Linked DNA regions of Tamandua tetradactyla. The protein of the gene in region 1 purifies or fractionates together with the protein of each later gene. This does not show direct contact. Links are inferred from orthologs where the notes say so. Each region holds a gene or a part of one and is shown in the gene's direction. Other genes may lie near its edges.

Region 1 (3,747 bases):
TTCCTCCCTTTCAGGAACTCACGGCTTAGTGGGGAACACACACCCATAAGTAAGTGTGATAAATGGTACAATAAATTTAGAACCAAGGTACAAGGGGAAAGATAGGAAAGCAGTGAAGAATAAACTGAAAAAGAGCTAGAGGCTACAAGGCCAGTTGGAAGGCTGTTGCTTTAGACTAGGGGAAAGTTAAAAACAGCTCGAATTAGGAGTGGCTTCCATAGAAATGGTAGAAAAACAACTAACGTTAACAGGCTCATTGCAATCATTCTAAGAAAACCTTCCTGATTGTGAGTAGGTCGAAGGTGAAACCTGTTCAGCTAAGTCAAGGGTAGTTTTGTTCACACCAATAAAACGGAGAGAGCTACTGTAATCATCAGAAAATGCAAATAGGAGCATATTTATGTTTGGCTTCAGTTACCAGAGCTTTTTAGTGTGACTTATCCAGATATTTGCCTCCATTTTTCCTACTTGACTGGAAAAATGCTAATGCATATATAAAGCTTTCTGTGTTCCAGGAATGTTCTAAGCGACTCACATTAATTGACTCCCCTCTCCTCTTGGGCTTTACCTTAACAGATGAGGAAACAAGGGGAAAGTAAAGTGGTTAGCTTGCCCGCGGTAACGCTGCTAAGTGAAAGTACAAGGATTAAACCCAGGCGTTCTTAACATTACACCAGAATAAATGGGTCGTGCAGACAATGCTAAGGCAGATCACACTTCGTCATAGGGTGGTGAAACACTGAGTCTGAGTGGCGGCCGAAGACCTGGTTTGAGATCTGTTTCTGTTGGAAAATCTAAGGCAAATAGCCGCTTAAGAACAACTTTTGCTGAGCTACAGTTTCTCCACCTATAAATGGTGCAGAGAGAGTGAGATAATGACTGTACAAGAGCATTTCAAACTACGTCTGTGGCCCCACGTTCTAGTATTTGGGGACATGAATACGCTAACTCACACATTGCAACATACCAGGAGTTTACAGCTCCGGAGCCAGGCCCCGCCCACTGCGAGCGGCAGGTGGGGCCGGCCGATCTTCTCTGCGCATGCGGAAGCCGCTGCCCGCGCCCACCTCTCACACAGGCGGAGAGTAGCTGCTGTTTCTGGGACGACGATTCGTAAGGAGGTCCCTTGGGCGAGTCCCCTTTGCGTTCCCTTCTGCGGGCCCTTCTGGTACCTCAGCGGCGTCCAGAGCGTAGCTGGTCCTTGTCTACCCGTCTGCCTTTCTGCAGAGGTGACTGACTTTGGCGTAAGGGTTCGCTGTCGAAAGTGCCGGCCCCCGCGCCGGCGCCGGCAGCAGCCGGGTGGGAAGGCTCAAGATGGCGTGCCTGTTGGAGACCCCAATCCGCATGAGCGTCCTTTCGGTGAGTGACCCGCCGCGGCCGCCCGCCGGCACAGAAGCCGGGCCCGTCCCGCATCATTTCCCCCAGCGCGAAGCGCGTCGCGAGCACCACCCCCTAGGGTGGCCTCCGGCTCAGCTTTGGGCCGGGCAGCGAGTGAGGACGAGCTAATGGGATAGACGGGACCCTGGCCGAGCCAGAGACGTCCCCGACTTCCGGGGCTCCCACCGGTGCCGAGTCCCAGTCCCGCGTCCCGCGGGCGGGGTAGTTGGGCGAACGAGCGGCTCGCCTGGCGGCGCGGCTAGGACTCTGCCGAGCGTTCTCTAAGCCCTCCTCTTATCGATGCTTCTTCTCTCTGGCCGAGCGCTGCCCTGCGAGGCGGCGGGCTAGCCTCCGGCCTGGGAGCGAGCGCCCACTCAGCCCCCTGGGGCTCTGGTCAGACGTGCTGCAGGTTCCTTATCCCCAGCCGCCCACCTCCGAGTTACCAGCCGGGTCTCTGTCCCTTCTGTCGCGTCCCAGCAGAGCCGACCCCGGACTAGAGCAGGAGCGGCTTGCTTTTTAGCAAAGGGGATTTCACATCAGCTCCAACACCGTTTAGAGTATGTGGTTATCTAAGCCCCTTATTGCCGCTTTGCTCAGGAGGTCGGGGGTCTGAGTTTAAAGGGACTGTGTGCTTGTTGTTCCAGGCATTCATTTTTTTTCTTTAAGGGGAGTCAGACAATGAGAAAAGAAAGATCACCCTTTCTCGGTTTTGGAAGAAGAGAACGTATTACCATGCCAGAAAGTCATACCTAGTTTTTTAGAAAAAATATTAAAAAAAAAAAAAAAAAAAAAAGACATCCAGTGTGTTGCTCTTGAGAGATCGAGGACTGGGGTGTAAGTTACCGGGAGTTAACTGCAAAGGATTTTGCAACAAATTCGAGCTGTCGCCCTCTGAGAATGGTCAGTCTACCAGTGATCTGTTTGCTGTTTTTGGAAACAAGCAGGCAAAGACTGGTTGACATCTTTTAGACTTGTGATGGAAACCAGTCTGATACTGAGAGACTAGTTGGGAAGTTGGAATATTTATAGATGACTTTTTTCTGATTCCTAGAGTCTGTGACTCCAGTTGGTCTCTTTTCCCTTCCCTCACTTTTCCCACAAGCATACTTGTCTGAAAGCACCTAGGACATTTGCTTATGATTTAGAATTAGAGCAATGTGGCATATTGCAAACTTGAAAAGATTTAATAATACAGTAATAATTTAATTTGAGGTCCTAGCAACAGTTTTGTTCCCTGATCCATTTTAGCAGTACCTTTTTTTTTTTTTAAAACGGCAACTGGGGAAATTCTGTTCACCTAAATATTGAATAAGATTAGTCCATTAGTCTACCTCTGACTGTGTACCCAGGAAGGTTTTATGGGAGAGCAGACCAATGACTTTTCCTTAATTATGTTCTTAAAAAAGGGATATGTGTTTGGACTGTTCTTAGTTCCCCTTTGTTTCGTTTAGATTTCAGTTATCCTTCAATTTACCTGAATCTTTCTTAACTTTTTGTGCATTAGCTAGCATAATGCATATGATTGAAAATTTTTATTCACTTCTTCAGTAAATGATATTTCCCGTTTAATTTTATTTGAAAACTTCTTAAAGAGTATTCTCTACTTCTAGTTGTGATTCACTGTAGCTCTAGGCTCTTTGGGGCTTATTTTTAAAGGTTATCACAGTCTCAAAGTCTGGTCTATTGGCTCTCCAGTCCTAAAACCTTGGGAAACCAGAGTTTTGGATAAATTATTTAAACTGTGTAAACTTGCATGACTGAGATGTATCCAAAACTGATTTTACTAATTTAAAGTGGAGATTGTACCTTTCAAAGTGCTTCCCAGAACACCACTTTTTGGAAGACAAAGTGCAGATGGAACAGGAAAGGAAATAGTAATCAGAAATTATCTTGAATACTTCATTTCTTTGATAAGCTACTTCTTGTGTACCAGTCATGTACAAAGCCCTGTATTGTGTACTGATTTAGGGGAGTGCAGGGTTGGCATCAGACATACCCTTAAGCTGCTCACTGACTGGAAGACTGTATAGTTTGGGAAACATAATTTGAACAAGAAGGAAATCAAATTGTTTTCAATGATTTTCATCCAAGGCCCTTTACACTTCTCCCTGAGAGATCTTCTCTCTCCTGGCCTTAACTGTGACTGACTCATGCATCAACATTACCAGCCTTGACTTCTCCTACATCTAGTTTTATATCTTCAGTTGTGTGGATGTCATCCAGCAATTTAAACACAATGCATTCCTTCTCCTGAAAGAAGGACTTAGTCATGACTTTCCAATTTCTGTTAATGGTATTATCTTTCACTGATCACTCACTGTTAAACCTTCTAAATCATCTTTGACTTTTCCTTCTCTCATGCCCTTATAT
Region 2 (3,747 bases), on another chromosome or scaffold:
TTGTAACTTATTAAATTCCTCTTTTTAAAAGCCATTCCATTTTTGGTATATTGCATTACTGCAGCTAGCAAACTAGAACAGCACTCTAATTCCATACAGAACTTTCTAATAATCTCACTACGTTTATGTCAATCTGAGGTTGGCAGGACATGTGCTGCGAGCAGTAAGGACCAGATCCTCCATCTCCACCCAGGCCAGGACCTGCCAGTCCTTCCTGTCCTCCAGGACATTCAGGGGAACAGACAAGTCTCAAGGGATCCACAGATGGAATTTCTGGTCTCTCACAAAAAACCCTTTGCAGATCTTGTCTCTAAAACATAACCCAGCATACAAGAAAGGAGGTTTGGGGGATCACCCTCTGTTGATGGACACAGGACCTGCCCCACCTCAATCCTGGCAGTGGGGCGGGGAAGAGGGGCAGTACTGCTCCTGTTTCGATCCCGACGCATGCCAGCCAAGGCCCCACTTAGCTCCTCTCTGAGAGGGTCTCAGCTTTCTTGCTGGAGTCTGTAACCCAGATGGTCCCTGGAGTTCCTGTTTCCGGGAAGAACTGGTCACAGGACTTTCTGTCCCCAGCAGAAATTCTCCATCCTGGAGCATCAGCCCAGCTTACAGTGAGGGTCGGTGGACGCTGAGGATGAACTGCGGGGTTAAAGCCCCCAGATCACGTGGTGGGCCTGACCTAGCCTCCGCACAGAGAAGGGAGGAGAGCAGGCAAACCAGGAGACACGAGGACAGTTACATGACCTGGCCAGCAAGCAAGCCCCGAGGCTCAGATGGGCAAGGCCTTGTGCTGCCTTTCCAGAGGCACCCCTCCCGCCTCCCAGCGTCTGGCCAAGGCTTGCAGTCCGTCCGCCCCCTCCCTCCACCTTCCCACCGCCAGGGCCCACGCGTCTCTCCCAGTCTCCTCGTTGCTCCTGACTCCACACAGCTGCCTCAGGATCCGTCTCGAAAGGACGTCGGGGCCTCCGCTGGACACAGCGCGGGAGGGGCGGTCTTGGCGAGGGCACCGGCAAGGAGGCAGGGTCGGGCCGGGGGCGGCCTGGTCGGCGGGGTCTCGGCCTGAGGCCGGCGAGGTCTGGGCCTGGGACCGCATGGCCCGGGCCGGGGTCCGGCGGGGTCCGGCCAAAGGTCAGCGGGATCCCGGCCGGGGCCGCCAAGCCTCCGCCGCCGCAGCCAAAGCTTCCCGCGAAACTGACGTCGGTGCCGAGCCGGCCGCGCAGGCGCCGCCCCCCGCCCTGCCCCTCCCCCGCGCTCGCTTTGCCCCTAGGGCGCCGGCGCACTCGCCCGTCTCCTATTGGCCGCTGTGTGTCGGCGCGCGCCGGTCGGCGCGGTGCGCACCTCGTGATTGGTCGGCGGCCGCGGGCGGGGGTGTGTCGGCGGCGCCCCGCCCCCTCGGCTCGCGGCGGTGCGCGCGGCAGCGGCGGCGGCGGTGGCGGCGGCGGCGCGTGGCAGGTCCGGCGGCGGTGGCGACGGCGGCGGCCCGATCCCGGCCCAGCCTCGTCCCGTCGCGTCTGGGGCCCGCCCGAACGCCGGCCCCGACCTCGGACAAGCGCGCCGCGGCCTCGCCCCTGCCCGGGCCCCAGCGCCTCCCGGGGGAGCGGCGCTGCCGGGCGAGCGCAGGCCCGGCCATGACCGACTTCAAGCTGGGCATCGTGCGGCTCGGCCGGGTGGCCGGGAAGGTGAGCAGGGAGAGGGCGCGGTGGGAGCCAGGCCAGGCCGGGGTCGGCGGGCGGCGCGGTGCAGCCTTCTCGCAGGGCGTGCGGCGCGGCGGGCTCCGGCCTCCGACCCAGGGCTCTCGCCTTCGGCCCGCGGACGCACCTGGTTGCTGCTGCTGGTCCAGCCCCGCGGGCCCGCTGCGCGTGCGGGACGCATGGCCTGCCCTCGGAGCAAGCGCCCCGCGCCTCGTCCCGCTTCACCTGGCCCGGTCCAGGTGTGCCTGCTATCTGGGGCCTGTACCTGCGGCCGCACGGGTCGAACGCAGCGCCCTTTCTGAGGCAGTGCCACTTCCACACCTGCTAAAGGGGGTCCGGTGTGGACTGGTGGCCAAGTTCTGCGTCTCTCGGTTAACAGGGGTGCTTAGGGGCTCGTTTTAATGCTGCCAAGGGTTGGCCACATTTGGCAGAGCGTCCACAGGTTTCTCCAAAGCAGGGACAGGAAGCCAGGGTCTCCAGGGCCTCCCTCTGCTGCCATCCGCTCTTGGGCTTTTTCATTCCCTTTACCTGGCCCTAACCTTTACGTGTTTGTCATTGGCACCTGTGAGCCGGGAGGCTTGGCTGTTTCCAGCGGCTGGCCCCTGCAGCTGTACCAGCCACTTGACCTTAGCCTGGGTGGGAACCCGACTCCTTCACCAGTGGCAGAGATTTCTGGTGGGAGAGAGAAGAGGCAGTGTGCAGTCAGATGAAGATGAAGCCCTTTCAGATCCGCTAGCAGTAGTAACTTTCCAAGAGTTAGACCAGTCATGTGACCGTTTTCTTCTTTTTCTGCAAGAGCTCCAGCAGCAGCTGTTGGGGATGTAGTTTTCTAAGCGAAGCTTGAGTTCCCCATTAAATTCTGAGACCCCTTCAAAGGGAAAGATATCAGTGACTGATGCCGTATCTCTCATCACTTGAATCTCTTGTTTGGAACATTTCGAATAGACAGCTAACCAGAATAGTTTATTGAACACCTGTGTACTTACCACCCGTCCTAATTAGTTAAACAGTAACTGAGACATCCTGAATATTCTTCTCAGTCATGCCCCCTCCCTCTGCTCCAGTGAGCCCACCATCTCTGACTAGGTAGAAGCGAGCAGTCAGCCTGATTCAGTGTCACTCTCTTGGGGAATCTCATGTGCATGGAATCAGACTCCTCTGGACAGACGAAACCCTCTCCCACTTGTATTCTAACACATCCACCTGTGTCTTACCCCATGCCAAGGTGAGTCCTTTGTCGACCTGAAGGGGCCTTTAGTTATCTTCTCCTTCACGAGAAACCACAGTTCATCCTGCTCTTGGCCATAATTTGAGTGCCTCATGCTGATCCCTAGTGTAATGATTTGAAACATCTGGTTAATTTCTAGACGAAGTACACACTGATAGATGAACAAGACATCCCGCTGGTGGAGAGCTACTCCTTCGAGGTAAGGACAGTCTGGCCCTTTTCTGGTCTGCTTTCGGTTAGCCCATGGGAGCCTTGGGAGGGCCCGGAGAAATGAGTTTTCTGCCTTGTGCTATGGGAGTGAGAGACCCCAAACCCAGATATATCCTGCCTCCCATGTCCAAAGTCCTGGTCTCTACCTGGAGTTCCAATGACATTGCCCACAGGACCTCCCGCCTGACCCCTGGGATGTGGCCTTTCCTCACCTCTACTCTGGGTGTTAACTTCTCTTCTTTAAAAAACAAAGCAAATTTTGTCATTTTTGTGATAAAACATCTGTGAAATTGACTATTGTCCCTGTTCCTTAGTGAGACTCTGCCGTGTACCTCAGCCTGTCTTCCTGCCTTGGGCTGCCAGTTCTCCTGTATGCCACAAACATCTTCCATTCTCCAATCACCTATCTGCGCCCTTGGTGCTCTCATGCCTCTCCCTGGTGGACTCTACTTGACAAACTTCTCTTCACCAAAGTGTTCCCTTCTCTTCATGTCGCTCTGCCATGTTACATTTCAGCCCTTGACATTTTTTACCATGATTGTTTGATCTGGGGGCTTGTCTCTTATTAGACTGTGAGCCTTTTCAGGGTTAGGAAAACATATTTGCCTTTGTGTC
Region 3 (3,694 bases), on another chromosome or scaffold:
CCCCCCTCACAGAAAGGGCACTGAAGCTTATATAAAATAAAAGTACATGCTTATATCTCTTGTTATTTCTCAAATGTTACCTCTGAGAGCAATGCAACATTTTTAGAAGTGGCTGCCTGTGTTTTGTGCTTATAAAAATTATATCGTTTCCTGTTAATTCAACTCATTCATTAATTTAATAGATATTTATAGAGTGCTTACTATAAGTGAGTTACTGTTCTTGAGTCTGAAGAATTGTCGTACATTCGTCACCTGTGTCTAAGAGTAAGATGTGAGTCTTAGACTTAAGACTAAGATATTGGTTGGAAGGAAACCAATATCTGTTTTCCGAAAGCCAAGTGCTTTGCATTGGTGCTATCATTTAGACTCACTAACAGTTAATTATGATTTGAATACTATTCTCTTTTTTCAGATCAGGAAACTTACTCACATGTGTAGCTGACAGTTGACTCTGCAGGCAGCACAGCTTTCTGACACACATCACAACCAGAACTCTAGAGTCACACATTACTTTTTCCATTTTGAAATACTAATTTTCTCCAAATGAAACACTAATATAATTATAATAAGAGCTCACACTTCTAAAGTAGTTACTATATGCCAGGCACTGTTCTAAGGACTGTACATGTATTAACTCATTTAATCGCTGTAATTTTGTCCTTGTCTTTTCTGACTATAAAAAGATAGAAGACTTTTAAAAAATAATAATATAAAAGTATTAAGAAATAAGTAAAAAATGCATTAAATATTCCACTCCTGTTCCAGGTCCCACTTCTACAACTGTTTCTACACTCTTTCCCAGGCCCCACAGCAACTACAGAGAAGATTGCAAATGGAATGCAGGCTGGGGGAGGGATGGTGAGTGGGGGTTTTGGTTATCCTCAGAGCGGAAGACAAAAAGAGACAATTCTCTAAACAAGAAATAGAAAAGTTCAGTATCTCCAGAAAAAGATGTAGCCTCTCCTTAATCAGAGAAAGGCAAATAACATTTTCCCAAAAACTCTGTGATAGACAACAACAGAAAAGACTGACAAGACCAAATGTGAACCGCCGGGGTAAGAGGAGCAGAGGGCGGGCCGACTTCTGCCGCGCTTTTGGTGGGAGTGGAAATTGGGGACCCTAGCTCGCTGGTGACGTGGCTCTCACGTGACCAGGAGTCGACGTGTGCAGAAGTCCTGCGAGTCTGATCCTTGTTCCGGTCTGGGTACCAGTTCCCTTTTGTAGTGCTGGCAGCAGGGCTTGAGGCCAGCAGAAGAAATCAACTTGCTGTAATTGTGCAGGTAAGTGTCAAGATGGGGGATGACGGGATTCCTAGAGTGGGGGTAGCCTAGGCAGAGACTTGAGGGAGTCTTGGTCAATCCGTTTGTCCACCCCCACTTCCAGGTCTGTAGAAAATGACCCTTGGAAAGGGACTAGGGGTCCCGGAAGAAAGACAGAGACCAGTGATAGCTAAAAATAAGTATCCTCTGTTATCTCAGATCGCCCCCCAATGCTCACCCCTCCTCCCAAGCTCTATGTCAGTCTTAAAGACAGTTCGTAAGTAATCTAAGCTTCTCACTCCTTGACTGATGAGAAATGTGAGCTAACTAGCACTGGGGAGAGAGGGAGAACTGGGGGAAACAGAAAGTGGGAAACTTTCCATAATTGAGACTCATATTGAGGAAATGTGTGTGACCTGAAACTAGTGCTGGTCGGCACACCAAGCACTCGGCCCCCTCCAACTCCTCCCCCTACCATCCCTTCCGTTTCCCATTTGTCTTCTGCTCTGCAGGTCTGTTGTCCGTAGCACGGGACAAAGCTAGAAAAGAGGAGGAAAAACCTGACCGGAGCAGTGCAGGTAGGTAAGGGGAATGTTATAAGGACTCCTAGAGTGAGGGTGGGTGAGGTAGAATCAGAGGTTGAAGGCCCCAGTGCCCATCCCCCCAGGCTACCACGTTCTGGGAGGGGTCTGTGTAATGCCTTGCGGGGATAAATAATTGGAGGAGAGCTAGGAGGTTGGAAGGAGGACCCTGGAAAAGGCGGGGGAACAGACAAGAGAAGGGAGGAAAGGAAAGTGAAGATAAGTGGGCAGGGGCAGAGAGACCCTGATTGCTGACTGAGCTGCTCAGATATTTGTTTTCAGCTCTGAATCAAAAAAGGCAAATGAAACTTTGGTCCAGAGCACTGGTCCATTCACACTTTCCTTCTTACTGTTTCCTTGCCTTCTAGGAGTAACTGTATTTAAAAAGAAATAAGCAGGGGGAAAAAAAGGAAGGAAGGAAGGCAGAGAGACACACACACGATGAAACCCTGTCAAAAATTTGAAGGCAAACCAGATAATGAGAATGAACCAAAGCTGGAGGAAGAGCCAAAGCCTGGGGAAAACCCAGAGGAAGAAGAGCTAGAAGAGGAGGCAAAAACAGAAGTAACTTTTAGAGAAAGACTGATTCAATCTCTCCAGGAATTTGAAGAAGATATACACAACAGGCATTTAAGCAATGAAGATAAGTTTAAAGAAGTGGATGAAATAGACGAGATAAGGAGAGTAAGGAACAAACTCATAGTGATGCGTTGGAAGGTTAATCGAAATCATCCTTACCCCTATTTAATGTAATTTACCTTGATTTTTATTGCTGTGATACTAACATTACCATATAGCTTCCTTTTGATTTGCATTTTCTTGATGTACCTTCGACTCTTTTCCTATTTTTAACTTGGAAGTGTTAGTAATTTTAAATGCCTCTCTTATTTATAGCTCATTGTTTACTGTATTTTTAACTGATCTACAAATCTCTAACTTTTAATAGGGGAGCTTTGTTCATTTGATGGAATATAAAATGAAAAAAGTTACTAAGTAATATATGACTACCATAGTTTGAAAGAGAAGAGTACATTTATAGATTACATATATGCTCATAAATGTCTGAAGGACGGAAGACAAAAGTACAGTCTCTTATTGGTGGGATAATGAGTGATTTTTTTCTCTGCTTATTTGTATTTTTCCTTATTTCAGAAATGAACACACATTGTTGTTATTAAAAATAATAAATTTTTATAACAAAAAAGAAGTAACCAGTAGCACTTACCAGTTTATTTTTATATTTTTATGGAAAATCCCTTTATTATTTTCTACTTTCATATACTGTGATTTTTTTAAAATTTCAAGGCCATTTAACCATCCAAAAAGAAAACAGAAATATATTTGAATACAAATAGAAGCAAGTACTGAAATAACCAGGCAAACACTTGTAAATATGCACATCCTACTCACTTGAAGTCCCATATCCCTTGAAGGAATTATCATCTATGTCATATATTATTATGAATTAGAAAGTTTATTTTTTTATCACATTTAAGAAATGTATGAAGCAAAAGCTTTTAAACGTTAGTGGTACAGCAGAATGTTGCATATTTATCACCAAAGTAATCTGTCCACTTCCTTCAAAAATAGCTAAACTTTAGCATGAGACCTTGAGGGAGCTCACAGTTGCTTTTTCTGTTATACTTTGACCCAAACCAGCAAAAACAAAACAAACCCATCAAGCCCTCCATACTTTCAAAGCTGAAACTCCAGCCCCCTATTCATTTTTCTTTGTGTCTCTATACAGCTAAACTAAGAAGTTATCAATTTACTTTTAATGGCACTGAACCTGGGTCTCTGGCACAGCAGGTGAGAACTCTACCACTGAGCCACCGTGGCCTGTCCTCAATTTAC

The links.
Region 2: the proteins of ARMC8 (region 1) and ZMYND19 purify together in Homo sapiens (affinity purification with mass spectrometry; 4 studies listed by BioGRID and IntAct, with this or other methods). This does not show direct contact. The link is inferred for Tamandua tetradactyla from reciprocal best matches to the Homo sapiens genes ARMC8 and ZMYND19.
Region 3: the proteins of ARMC8 (region 1) and TCEAL9 purify together in Homo sapiens (affinity purification with mass spectrometry; 3 studies listed by BioGRID and IntAct, with this or other methods). This does not show direct contact. The link is inferred for Tamandua tetradactyla from reciprocal best matches to the Homo sapiens genes ARMC8 and TCEAL9.

The regions. Positions count from the first base shown.
Region 1 is NC_135341.1:82,117,109-82,120,855, forward strand, and holds the start of ARMC8 (armadillo repeat-containing protein 8), read left to right. Parts: upstream 1-1,050; 5' UTR 1,051-1,314; coding exon 1,315-1,359; intron 1,360-3,747. UniProt on the Homo sapiens protein: Component of the CTLH E3 ubiquitin-protein ligase complex that selectively accepts ubiquitin from UBE2H and mediates ubiquitination and subsequent proteasomal degradation of the transcription factor HBP1.
Region 2 is NC_135328.1:130,325,827-130,329,573, forward strand, and holds the start of ZMYND19 (zinc finger MYND domain-containing protein 19), read left to right. Parts: upstream 1-1,553; 5' UTR 1,554-1,631; coding exon 1,632-1,682; intron 1,683-2,227; exon of another isoform or gene 2,228-3,024; intron 3,025-3,061; coding exon 3,062-3,121; intron 3,122-3,344; exon of another isoform or gene 3,345-3,747. UniProt on the Homo sapiens protein: May be involved as a regulatory molecule in GPR24/MCH-R1 signaling.
Region 3 is NC_135353.1:70,599,909-70,603,602, reverse strand, and holds TCEAL9 (transcription elongation factor A protein-like 9), read left to right. Parts: upstream 1-1,140; 5' UTR 1,141-1,280; intron 1,281-1,771; 5' UTR 1,772-1,837; intron 1,838-2,208; 5' UTR 2,209-2,281; coding exon 2,282-2,593; 3' UTR 2,594-3,047; downstream 3,048-3,694. UniProt on the Homo sapiens protein: May be involved in transcriptional regulation.